2 linked regions of the Schizosaccharomyces pombe genome follow. The protein of the gene in region 1 interacts with the protein of each later gene in a biochemical or structural test. Each region holds a gene or a part of one and is shown in the gene's direction. Other genes may lie near its edges. The genes, in order: alp4 and pkl1.

Evidence for each region.
Region 2: the proteins of alp4 (region 1) and pkl1 interact in a test that uses a peptide from one of them, tested with the Schizosaccharomyces pombe proteins (one study listed by BioGRID).

The regions. Positions count from the first base shown.
Region 1 is NC_003423.3:2,522,005-2,527,794, forward strand, and holds alp4 (gamma tubulin complex GCP2 subunit Alp4), read left to right. Parts: upstream 1-2,056; coding exon 2,057-4,411; 3' UTR 4,412-5,130; downstream 5,131-5,790. Other genes in the region: UDP-glucose 4-epimerase Uge1, read right to left, coding at 1-620, 789-851, 919-921. UniProt on the Schizosaccharomyces pombe protein: Component of the gamma tubule complex that is required for the regulation of both interphase microtubules and mitotic bipolar spindles.
Region 2 is NC_003424.3:3,437,061-3,442,755, forward strand, and holds pkl1 (kinesin-14 family minus-end directed microtubule motor Pkl1), read left to right. Parts: upstream 1-1,829; 5' UTR 1,830-1,872; coding exon 1,873-1,884; intron 1,885-1,922; exon of another isoform or gene 1,923-1,926; coding exon 1,927-2,560; intron 2,561-2,613; coding exon 2,614-4,301; intron 4,302-4,426; coding exon 4,427-4,591; 3' UTR 4,592-4,626; coding exon of another isoform or gene 4,627-4,735; 3' UTR 4,736-4,863; coding exon of another isoform or gene 4,864-4,988; 3' UTR 4,989-5,057; downstream 5,058-5,695. Other genes in the region: U5 snRNP-associated protein Aar2, read right to left, coding at 1-1,001; pfd6 (prefoldin subunit 6), read right to left, coding at 4,627-4,735, 4,864-4,988, 5,067-5,137, 5,188-5,227.

The DNA.
Region 1 (5,790 bases):
TCGCCAAATACATTCAAATGATCCAATCTTCCTACAGCAACTTGCGCGATATAAGGAAGCAAGTTATTAGGGATGCCAAGAGGATCTTCACCGAGTTCACCAGAGGGATGAGCACCTCCGGGATTAAAATAGCGTAATAAAGCTGCATTAAGCGATTTGTTCACCTTGGTCTCATCCTCAATGATATTTTCAATGAAAAGCTTTGTGCGACCATATGGGCTTGTACCTTCACGAGGGCATGACTCTGGAATAGGAATGGTACCACCAGGTCTAGTAGGATCGCCATACACGGTAGCAGATGAAGAAAAGACGAAGTCACGTACATTATACTTCTTCATGCACTCTATTAAATTAATGGTACCGGAAATGTTATTTTTGTAATAACTCAAAGGAACCTGTACAGATTCACCAACTGCTTTGAGACCAGCAAAATGAATGACAGCAGATATGTTTTGATTTGCGAAGACCTTGTCCAAAGCTGGCTCATCAAGCAAATCCACCTGGTGGAATATGACTTTTTTCCCAGTGAGTTTTTCAATGCGGTGCACGGCTTCAACGCGAGAATTGCATAAATTATCGACAATTACAACATCATATCCTTTTTCTAACAAAACAACGCACTATTGCAGATTGTGGTTAGCAAAATATCTCAAAAAAGAGCTTTATAGAATATGGACGAAATTGTATAAAAGTAAAGAGCAGCAAGCTATATTCACAAAAGATGCGTGCTTAAAACATTTACATGTACATTACTAATCCTCTTCTGTATCTTCAAGCTCTCTACGTACCGTATGAGAACCTATATAACCAGCGCCGCCAGTAACCAACACAGTCCCTTCATGAACACCAGTCTATGAATCATAATTAGTATTTTCATACAAAAGAATGCTTTTGATTAATTAAAAAAGTTATTCATACCATTTTACACGTTATAATTTGATATTAAAGGGGTGGGCTCAAGACTGTAGCTATTATGCTCTTTCTTTGTTGGATATTCAGTTTCCTACATGCTCAAGGTATCAATGCAGGTCGTTACCTCCTGTAACCTGACATGATGTAAAACGAGCAAAAGCCACAATGAAGCTTAAGCTAAAAGTGAAAAGTGCTTGTATATCTCGCTAAACCATTTTATTGATATATCGCTAAAAAATTCCTAATCATAATATTATATAGTAACAAAGAGGTCGTCGGAATAAGTGTATAGCAGATGAATGCCTGTGATTAGGTGTATGGATTTTTCATGTTCATAAAGCATTGAGGTAGTAATTTAATGTATGTGCATTTACCAATAAATTTTTTTTTTGTATTTATTTTTTTAAAAGATGAACTCGAGATTTTACAACCAATATACACTTTGATAGATGTAATGTTTGTGATTTCACCACCAGCTTCATGCGACTACAAAATCCTTGCTTCCCTAGAAAAGCATTTTATCTGTAAATAAATCATTGATGCTTATATGTATTTTTGAAAAAATTTATTTTGTTAAAGAAATAACAAGTAAATGTATAATTAACATAAAACCGAGCTAAATTTATTGCTTTTATTATGCAAATATTACCTACTGGCTAGTAAATAAAGCGAAGTAGTCTGCATTAGAATAAAAAATTTAAACACAACAAAAAAAAAAAAAAAAAAAAAAAAAAAAAGATGAAGGGAATAAATCCCTCAAGCTTAGGATCTAAAATTTTTATCCATTCAAAATAAACTCTAGCATATAGAATTTGTCACTGTCTACTGCTATCCATATATACTCGAATGAGTATTTGGGGTCCTTTGAGTTTACGGTAGTCTTACAATAGAAAATGCTGCAGTCTTCTAGTTATGTATTTTTTGACTAATTTTTTTTATACTTTTTTGCATTTTTTAATGCTACACGGACCTGAGTTGGTTTGCTTTGAAATTGCGTTGATTGTTAGCTGGCGCATACTTACCAACCTACATCTTAAAACTGGCCTGCTGGTAAACAAGCATATCCGAATAATAATTACAAAGAGCACTAAATATTAAATAAATGTTCACACTTTTGTAGATTATATAAAAAAAGACTCTTTAAATGGTGAGATCGATTAGTTCGGTGCTTGCTAAAGAAGAAAGCGAGAATGGGAGTCCAATTCCAGCTCTCGAGGAAGGGAGCGTTTATCATGTCTCTTTGAAGAGTGAAGGTGTTTCTCCATTTTCTGATAGGATTCAATTAAATTATCTTTACGATGGGAAGACTTTTAGCGATCCTTCGAACTTAAATATCCATCAGCAGGAAGCATGTCTCATAAACGAACTCTTAAATGCATTTATGGGCATGGAGGGTGTATTTGTACATCTCCAAGACATGAAAGCATCCTCTGAGTTTGAAACCATTATTATGCCGCCATCGTTTTATATTCTTCCTGGATTTGATTTAGGTATAAAGGATATTGCTTCTGAGATGTTAGAGATGGGGTCTCATTATTTAAGTATCACAGCTTTTATAGAATCGAGAAGCCATTTTGAATACGGATTTGTTAACCACGCATTGTGCGCTGCTTTGCGAAAGTTTGTGATGGACTACGTGGTACTTATCATGCAGTGTGAAAATCAGAGCCGAATTGATCCAAATTTTTCTCTTCAAACTCTTCGCCTTTATACTCTTCCCACATCGCGTTCATTACGACAAGTGTATTTAATTCTACGTGACCTGCTTTTGTCTATGGAAAAGAATGCTTCCAGCAGCGATGATTTAGGTCTTAGTAACATCGACGATCTTTTAGAGCAACTTAATGAAGGAAATGACATTTCACATGTTGTTAATGCCACTAGGTCTAAGAAAAAGGTTTGTAAAGGTGGGCAAGTCATTTCTTTTTTGACCGAAAGTCTTACGAAATATGCGGGTGATCCTGTGGCACGAAAAATCCTAACCTATTTATTGCGCGAAGCTTCACGCCCTTATACAAAAATGTTGAATGAGTGGATCCATCTCGGGCTCGTAAATGACCCATATGATGAATTTATGATAAAAATACACAAAGGAATCACATCTATGCAACTTGATGAAGACTACACAGATGAATATTGGGAAAAACGATACGTGATTCGAGAGGATCAAGTTCCTCCACAATTGCTTGATTTACAAAACAAGGTACTCTTTGCAGGCAAGTATTTGAACGTCGTTTTAGAGTGTAGGAAGGGAGTTAATAACCTGGCTTCGTTAAATGCAAAAGACGATACTCAAAACCAGTTGCTCTGGCCTTCAACCTTCGATGATGATAACTTTACTTTAAATATCATGAATGCCTATGTTTATGCAAATGAATCTCTCTTGCAATTACTCCAGTCTTCACAGTCTCTTTACGCTCATCTGTACTCGCTCAAACATTATTTTTTCCTTGATCAATCTGACTTTTTTACAACATTTCTTGACAATGCTCAACACGAGCTACGAAAACCTGCAAAGTATATATCTATCACGAAGTTGCAGTCGCAATTAGATTTAGCCCTTCGTCAGCCTGGTACGATAACTGCGACTGATCCACATAAAGAATACGTGACTGTAGAAGTGAATCAAACATCATTAATAGACTGGCTCATGCATATTGTAAGTATCAGTGGTTTGGAAGAAGGAACATCATCTCAGGGAAACGAAGTTTGGAATGAATCAATCACGAAGCAAGCGGATGTGGGCAATGAAACTCGAAATTTTGAGAGTGAACACAATCGGAGCACACAGGGGACTTCAAAAGTTGGTAGCGATAAAGATATTAATGGATTTGAAACGATGCAACTATGCTATAAAGTTCCATTTCCCCTTTCACTTATTTTATCCCGCAAAGCTATTATTCGATATCAACTTTTGTTCAGATATTTTCTTTTACTTCGTCACGTTGAAATGCAACTTGAGAATAGTTGGGTGCAGCACAGCAAGAATAGTGCTTGGCGTCTCAATTCCTCCAATGCGAAAATCGAACAATGGAAAAGGAACAGCTGGTTATTAAGGACACGAATGCTTAGTTTTGTTCAAAAAATAATCTACTATACTACAAGTGAGGTGATTGAAACACATTGGGGGAAATTTATGGGAGAACTTGAGAACGCCCGAACTGTGGATAATTTAATGCAGGAGCATATCGATTTTTTGGATACGTGTCTAAAAGAATGCATGCTTACTAACTCGCGATTACTTAAAGTACAATCTAAATTACTTAATACTTGTGCTATGTTTGCCTCTTATACTTCCACGTTTACCCGATCCTTATATTTGCTTGAGAATTCCGAAGAAAGCTTTGATGAAGGAAGAATGGATAAGATGGAAGAAATTTTACGCCGGTACGAAGACAGTTTTAGTCGTCATTTAAAATCCTTAGTGAATGCTTGTAACTACTTTGCAAGTACTGAGACGGCGGCTCTTTTAAGTTTAGTAATGAAATTGACGGGATAACTAAGAAGAGACAAGATAAAACAAGGCAAGGTAGAAAAACTACAAATGGAACAACGTTACTATTGTTTTATTGAGATATGAAGAAACATCTGACAAACAGCAATGGAAATTGGGAGAAAAACTTTTATGGATATTTATATAGTCGGTTTTTGGATAACCTTATCTTTGACATCTTGTTGCTTGTACTCGTTAATAAAGAAATGACTTGGAGTGAGGATCTTGCGGAATGGCCAATTATCTTCATAAACAAGCATTGCTTATCCGCAGTATACATTGGTCCATTTTCAGTAGTTTGGACTTTTTTTTGGCCAGTTGTCACACTAAAAGCGTACTGCACTATTCGGTTAAAAATTGACAAAAAGACGACTGCCATTGGCCATGAATTTAAGAATGATTATGGAGAAAGGCATGGCGAGCGTTTAATATGCCAACACTTGTGTTATATAAAAAATAATCGATTTTTTAAAATGTCTGAAACAGGGTTTGCTGATAATGCCTGAGGAATGGTAACTTGGATTTTTGATCGCTAATTTTTTATTAGCTATGTCGCTAAATTTAAGGCAAGTCGGCAGTATGCCGCGTGATTGAGGAAGAACGAAGAGAGAGGCTAAGCATTTGTTCCTAGTCTAAAGAGCTATCGATTGATTTTGAAGTGATACAATGTATGCTAACGTTTGTACCATAGACAGCTATAGTAATGAACTTTGTTATGTGAAGAAGTACAGTTGCTACGACAGTAATGATGATGATGTATGTATATAAAAACCAAACCAAGGTTTAATTTAGGTGGTTATAGTATTGTATACGCAAAACTATTCATTTGTGTGCACTCGTAATGAATTTCTAGTAATTGTATTTTGCAGTTAAAAGTTTAATGGATGCGTAAACAAAGGAACAGGTAAGCTAGTAAAGCGCATACAAAAATTGTAATATCGAAGGAAAACGTCAATTTAGATTAGTGTAGGATGGTTATTACGAAAGGATAGAGTTACTATGAAAAGTGAGTACAGATTGTATGATTAAGTATGGGGGCGATAGCTGGGTGTGAGGCAAAGGAATCATATGACTTTAGAATTATCGCATCAAGGAGTAAGAAAAACGAAAACTTATCTCACAGTGGATTGCCCAAAATTATCAATCCCCCACCATGTAAGAGGAAACAAGAGAAACAGAGAGAGGGAGAAAGAAATAATTAGAAACTAGCAAATATACTTTACAGATTACAAATGGACACGATAAGTAAGTTAAGATGAAATAAAGGGGAAGATAACAAGGAACGGAATATAAAAGAGCATTTCGAACCGAATGAAACATTTTAAGCCGAATGTATTGAAATCGAAATATTTGAATTGAGAGATTTTTATTTTATCTGACTAATG
Region 2 (5,695 bases), on another chromosome or scaffold:
TAGTCACCGGTTTCGTGAACTTCAGCTTCATAGTCGGCAGCACTGTACAAATCTCCTTTCTGCATTAAACCGGCTTGTTCTTCATGAGAATTCAATAACTCAGAAATAGTTTTTAGGAGATTTTCTATCGCTTCGTTTACTAGAGAACCAAAGCTACCATCCACTTTCCTTTCACTTAGACTATCAAGGCAAGATAGTAAAACGCCTTTCTCAAAAATGGCAGACGTTTCTAAGTCGGATTCACTTAGTGAGCTAAGCTGAAGTTTGAAAAGCTCCAAAAAGGAAGCGTAAAACTCTGGTTCAGTTTCCGCCAATTCATAAGACTGCAATAGCAAACTCAACATATTCTTCCAATGCTCCAAAGCACCATAGTGGGAGAGAATAGAGTAGCTCAGAAAGGAAATTGATAATTCCGCTAATGCAGAGATGGGATTGTCATTCCACACGCTTTGGACGAGTCTTTGAAACAAAAACGATTTATCAATTGCTTGCTTAGACCGTTCAGGTCCAGTGGCAGACGGCGACCAGCTTCGTCGTAAATTGAATTCAGCGAAATTTAATAGTTTATCGTCTCGAGAGGGTTTTGAGAATTCCGGATCTTGTGACACAAGATCAGCGTTGACATACGTTGAAGTGTCTAAGTAGAAAAATTCACCTTCAGTAGCAAAAATTCTTTGAAGATCTTGAACTGTAATGAACTTCGTCAACAAGTCCCAATCCTTTGTTGATTCAAAGGGATAAAAGTTTTCGTCATATAATACATCAAGCTTCTGCAAAGAAGCTGTTTCAGATTTCGAATCAAAGTCGATACTATATTTCATATCTTCATGGACCATAGCAAAAACTCCAGAAATTAATCCAGCAGGGTATGTTGGAGACCAAGTGAAAAGATGAATTCCACCTTTTACATTTCGAATACCTGGAAGCTTACTAGCTTCATATGAACTCTGATCAATGCCAACGTAATATGTATTTAACCATCCGACAAACTCTATACTCATTATATACAAAACAAATTATTCCATATCTTCATTTATTTTGTCTATTAAGTTGAATTTAAGATCGTAGACATTGGTCAAAGCTAAGTTTCAGGCTACTGATTTAAGAGTTATAGCGATGGATATTATAAAAAACACCATAATACATTAAAGGTTTTTGGGTGTCAGCAATTCTACACTACGCTATAATATACATCGTTTCGTATCACTAAATATCGCCTGCTAGAATAGTAGTTAAGATCTATTTATTCATAGTTACGGATAAAATTCCATCTATCTAAATATATTCCAATTGATATAAATTAATCGAGACATTTTAAATAAAGCTACAACTGAACCTCGCTCCTTTAGTTTAGTCGTTAGCTAGATCGCTGACTGGACACTATTAGACTTCTTTAAAGTAATAAAAGTAACAATTGTTAGTTAAACGTACAACCTACCGCTACATGGCAAATCGTAATATAAGCTCACCGAAATTTTAGGTAGTGTTACACATTTCCGCGGACTTTGTAATTCACTTAAAGACACGTAAGGATACACTGAATTTGTTTGAGATATTCCAAAAATCAATCAGGGAATGTGGAATTACATAATATAAATAATATTACTTAAGTACTATTTGTTAATGGAATCAATTGTATTCTATACACCATTGATTAATAACATAGATGGATATACACGAGAGGCTTGAGACATATAATGATGCGTAGCATTGGAATTTGCTTAACAATTTAACACTCATATTTAACCCACGTAAAATAGTTTTACGTTTCTTAAAGCATCTGCTAATCAAAATCTGTTTTGTCGAGCTGATAAATTCGTGTTTATAGTATTGGGAAGAATTACTCTATAAAACGCTCTTTTTAACTTATAGATGGTAATTGAGGTAAGAGGTACTTCTGAGTAACTTATCTTATTAATGCGAAAGAATACAAAGGACATTTCCATAAACACAGGGTATAAACGACAGGAAGATGCTTTAAACACAGATTCTGAGGACTTAATATATCGACCAAAAAAAATTATTAAAACAAATCAAGAGGATGCAGTACATGATTTGAAATACGAAAATTTCGTATCAAAAAATCACGTTTTACAAAGCGACATTAATGGCAAGAAGAGGGACAGCAATCGAGACAAGGCCGCTGTAGTCACAGCGCCAATTGCTTCTACTCATGAATCTAATTACGAAGAATCTGTTTCCAAATTTAAAGAGAGTTGGCTGCCTCAATTAAAAGATCTCATTGAATCTCATAAAACAATATGCGAATCAACGTTAGCCTACGAGAGTGATCAAGCTATGGCTTCTTCTAATACATTAAAGAGAATAAAAGATTTAAAAAGCAAACCAAAAAATATTATACAGTTAGAAAGGTTGCATATGCTATCTAATGGCGAACATCGTTTATTATCGAAAGACGAAACCGATGATATTGAGTCTGCATACTTGAACCTTAGATCACATCTTCAGGTACAAGAACAGGTTTACGCTGAAAAGGATCATGAATATTCGTTACAACTTCAATCATACAGAGAGGCAGCAGAAAAGGCCAAGCAAGATAGTAAGAATACATGTCTTTATGCTGACTTTATTTGATTACTAACTATTTTAAAGTTTTAGAAACAAAAGAAAATCTTTCCTCTGAATTATCGATATCGAATATCCAGTTGAAGGAAGCCAAGGAAAGGTTAGAAGCTGCGAATGCAAGCTACCAAAAGCTACGTCGAGAACACAAAGAACTTGCACTTTATCATGAAAAGAAAACACATTCTCTAGTTTGTAATCTAAATGGTGAACGAAAATCCTTTGGGGATTTTGTTGAGAACGAAGTAAAGTCATATAAACATGAATATGCCAATATTTGTGAATCACTTCGGAGAGCTCTAGTGCTGATACAAGGTTCTTGTACTGAGAAAATTTTGCGTTTTAAAGAAAAAATTCTGGACTTATTAGAAATGAAACAACAAGAAGAAAATGATCGAATATCCCACATTGAATATGAGAATGATTTAACGGTTAAAAAGCTTAAAAGGAGAATATCTGAGTTGGAAATGGCAGTAAAAGAATATGAATCGGAAAAATCATACTCGGAAAAAGAATATGAAGAAAAAATCTCCTCTCTGCGTATAGAATTAGAAGACAAGTTAGCTGAAATTGACATGCTTCGAAATAAACTGTTAAAGGAAGAGCATAAACACCACTCTACATCTGAAAAACTTGAAGAACTTTCTAAATATGTTGCAAGTATTCAAGATAAAGAAAGAAATAATGGCCAGAACGCATTGGAACTACAAGCTCGAATCCAACAGCTGGAACGGAGAAATGAAGATATGTATAATAAACTGTTAGCAGAAGAAATAATCAGACGAAAGCTGCATAACGACATTCAAGAACTAAAGGGAAATATTCGAGTTTTTTGTAGGGTTAGACCACTACTCCCAAGTGAAGAATCCGAATATTGCATTGCTGATGTTTTACAATTTCCAGATAAAGACGCACTAGAGCCACAAAAACTTATTCTTAAAGGGCCTAATGTTGAATCATCACTCGGGCATACTTATGATCGTAATTATGAATTTTCCTTTGATCGAGTCTTTGCTCCTGAAAGCGATAACTCGTCCGTTTTTGAGGAAATATCACAGTTAATTCAAAGCGCTATTGATGGTTATAATGTTAGTATATTTGCATATGGACAAACAGGATCGGGTAAGACGTACACAATGTCGTCACAAGACGGTATGATAGCGATGTCAATTAAGCATATATTTAATTATCTATCAACCTTGAGGGAGAAAGGGTGGGTGTATAAATTGAGAGGTCAGTTTTTGGAAATTTACAATGAAACGATTTATGATCTATTAAACAAAGCGGAAATGTTGAAAAATCCTAAGCACGATATTCATCATGATGAAAAGGAAAGACGAACAACAGTGGATAACGTTTCAATAATTGATTTTAATGAAGAAGATACTGTTTACAAGATGCTAAATCGAGCAGGAGAAAATCGATTTATAGCAGCGACAAAAGCAAATGAACGGTCTTCAAGATCACACACTGTTTTCATGCTGTATATAGATGGTGAAAATTCTAGAACCAAACAAATATGTAAAGGTACGCTAAATCTAGTTGATTTGGCAGGTTCTGAGCGGTTAAGTTACAGTCAGGCAGTTGGGGATAGACTACGAGAAACGCAAGCTATTAATAAAAGTCTCAGCTGTCTTGGCGATGTTATCCATGCACTTGGAAATGCCTCAAATAGTACCACGAAGGAAAAGTCTCACATACCATACCGAAATTCAAAGGTGAGTATTAGAATGAAAAGTTCTTTACGAAACACGTTCTTTAACTGTCAAAGTGGCTACTTATTTGCTTTGCAGCAGTGTGTAAAGTCTATATTGAAAGCATTTTTGTACTAACCAGACATTAGCTAACTTATTTGTTAAAATATTCACTTGGAAAAGGTGCCAAAACCCTGATGTTTGTTAATGTGTCTCCTTTAAAGTCGCAATTCATGGATACATTAAATAGTCTGCGATTTGCAACAAAAGTCAATGATACAAAAGTAGGTTCTATTAAACATTATAAACGTTAAGCTTATTTTAGAGTAAAAAATGTTTACCAAAGCATTTAAGATGCTGGGTTTGGTGGAGCAGCTGCTGCTTGTGCTTGAATGATGGCACCTTTAACTTTGCTGAATTCTTCTTGTGAGATTTTTGTTTGATTTTCGAGGCGTGCACTATAATTATGAATTAATAAAATGACATACGCAATTCGATAATACAAATGAAGAAGTACAACTCGCATTTTTAGAGAGCGATTTTAACCTCAAGGAAATTCTTCTTTTTCAAATTTCAACAAACATACATTTCTTTATTAATGAAATCCAATCTTGTTTTAACGTTGGTCTTTGCTTCCTCATGACTTTGCTTTACAAGGGTAGGACCGATTTGCTTATATATATTTGAGTCAGGAGCCACTTTTTCCAATTCCTAATTCGCATTAACAAAACAATTCTAATATAAATGGAGAAAATAGGGAAAATAGTAATTTTTGTGGCCTTAACGTACATTGAGGACAGTAGTGTTTTCTTGTAATTGGGTTTCCAACTTTTTTAAACTTTCGACATAAGTGCTTAGTTCTTGGGAATTTCGTTAATTATTTAATTCGATGCAGAAGGTTTTGATTTACCTGTTTGTAGGTTCTGATATTTTTTAGCTAATTCCTCCATTTCTATTCCTGTGTAAAAAGACGTAAAAGGATAGTAGGTAAAGAGACATTCTACTTACCTTGAAAGTCAGCTGAAATAGCGAAGTTCGTTGAAATTCTATATTATGAACAAAATATATTTTAATTGTGTGATATGATTGATTTTATGACTATATTGGATAAAAACGAGAAATAAATAAAACCGAATTAATTTAAACAGAGAAATGTAAGCTACACTAGGAAATCGATTTATGAATGAGTGAATGAAGGTGTTGCTGAAATTTTGAGTAAAGACTCACTGTTTTGATACAACAAAACTACTTGGTTCAGTATATAAATTAGTGAATTGCAAACCTTTTTTTTGAATAAAGGATATGAAAAATATTGTTTTAGTTCACTTCTCAACTGCATCCTTCTGGAATTAACAATTCGTAAATAATGAAACCGTTTTAATGAATACAAAAATGTCTTATTAATATTCAAAGATATA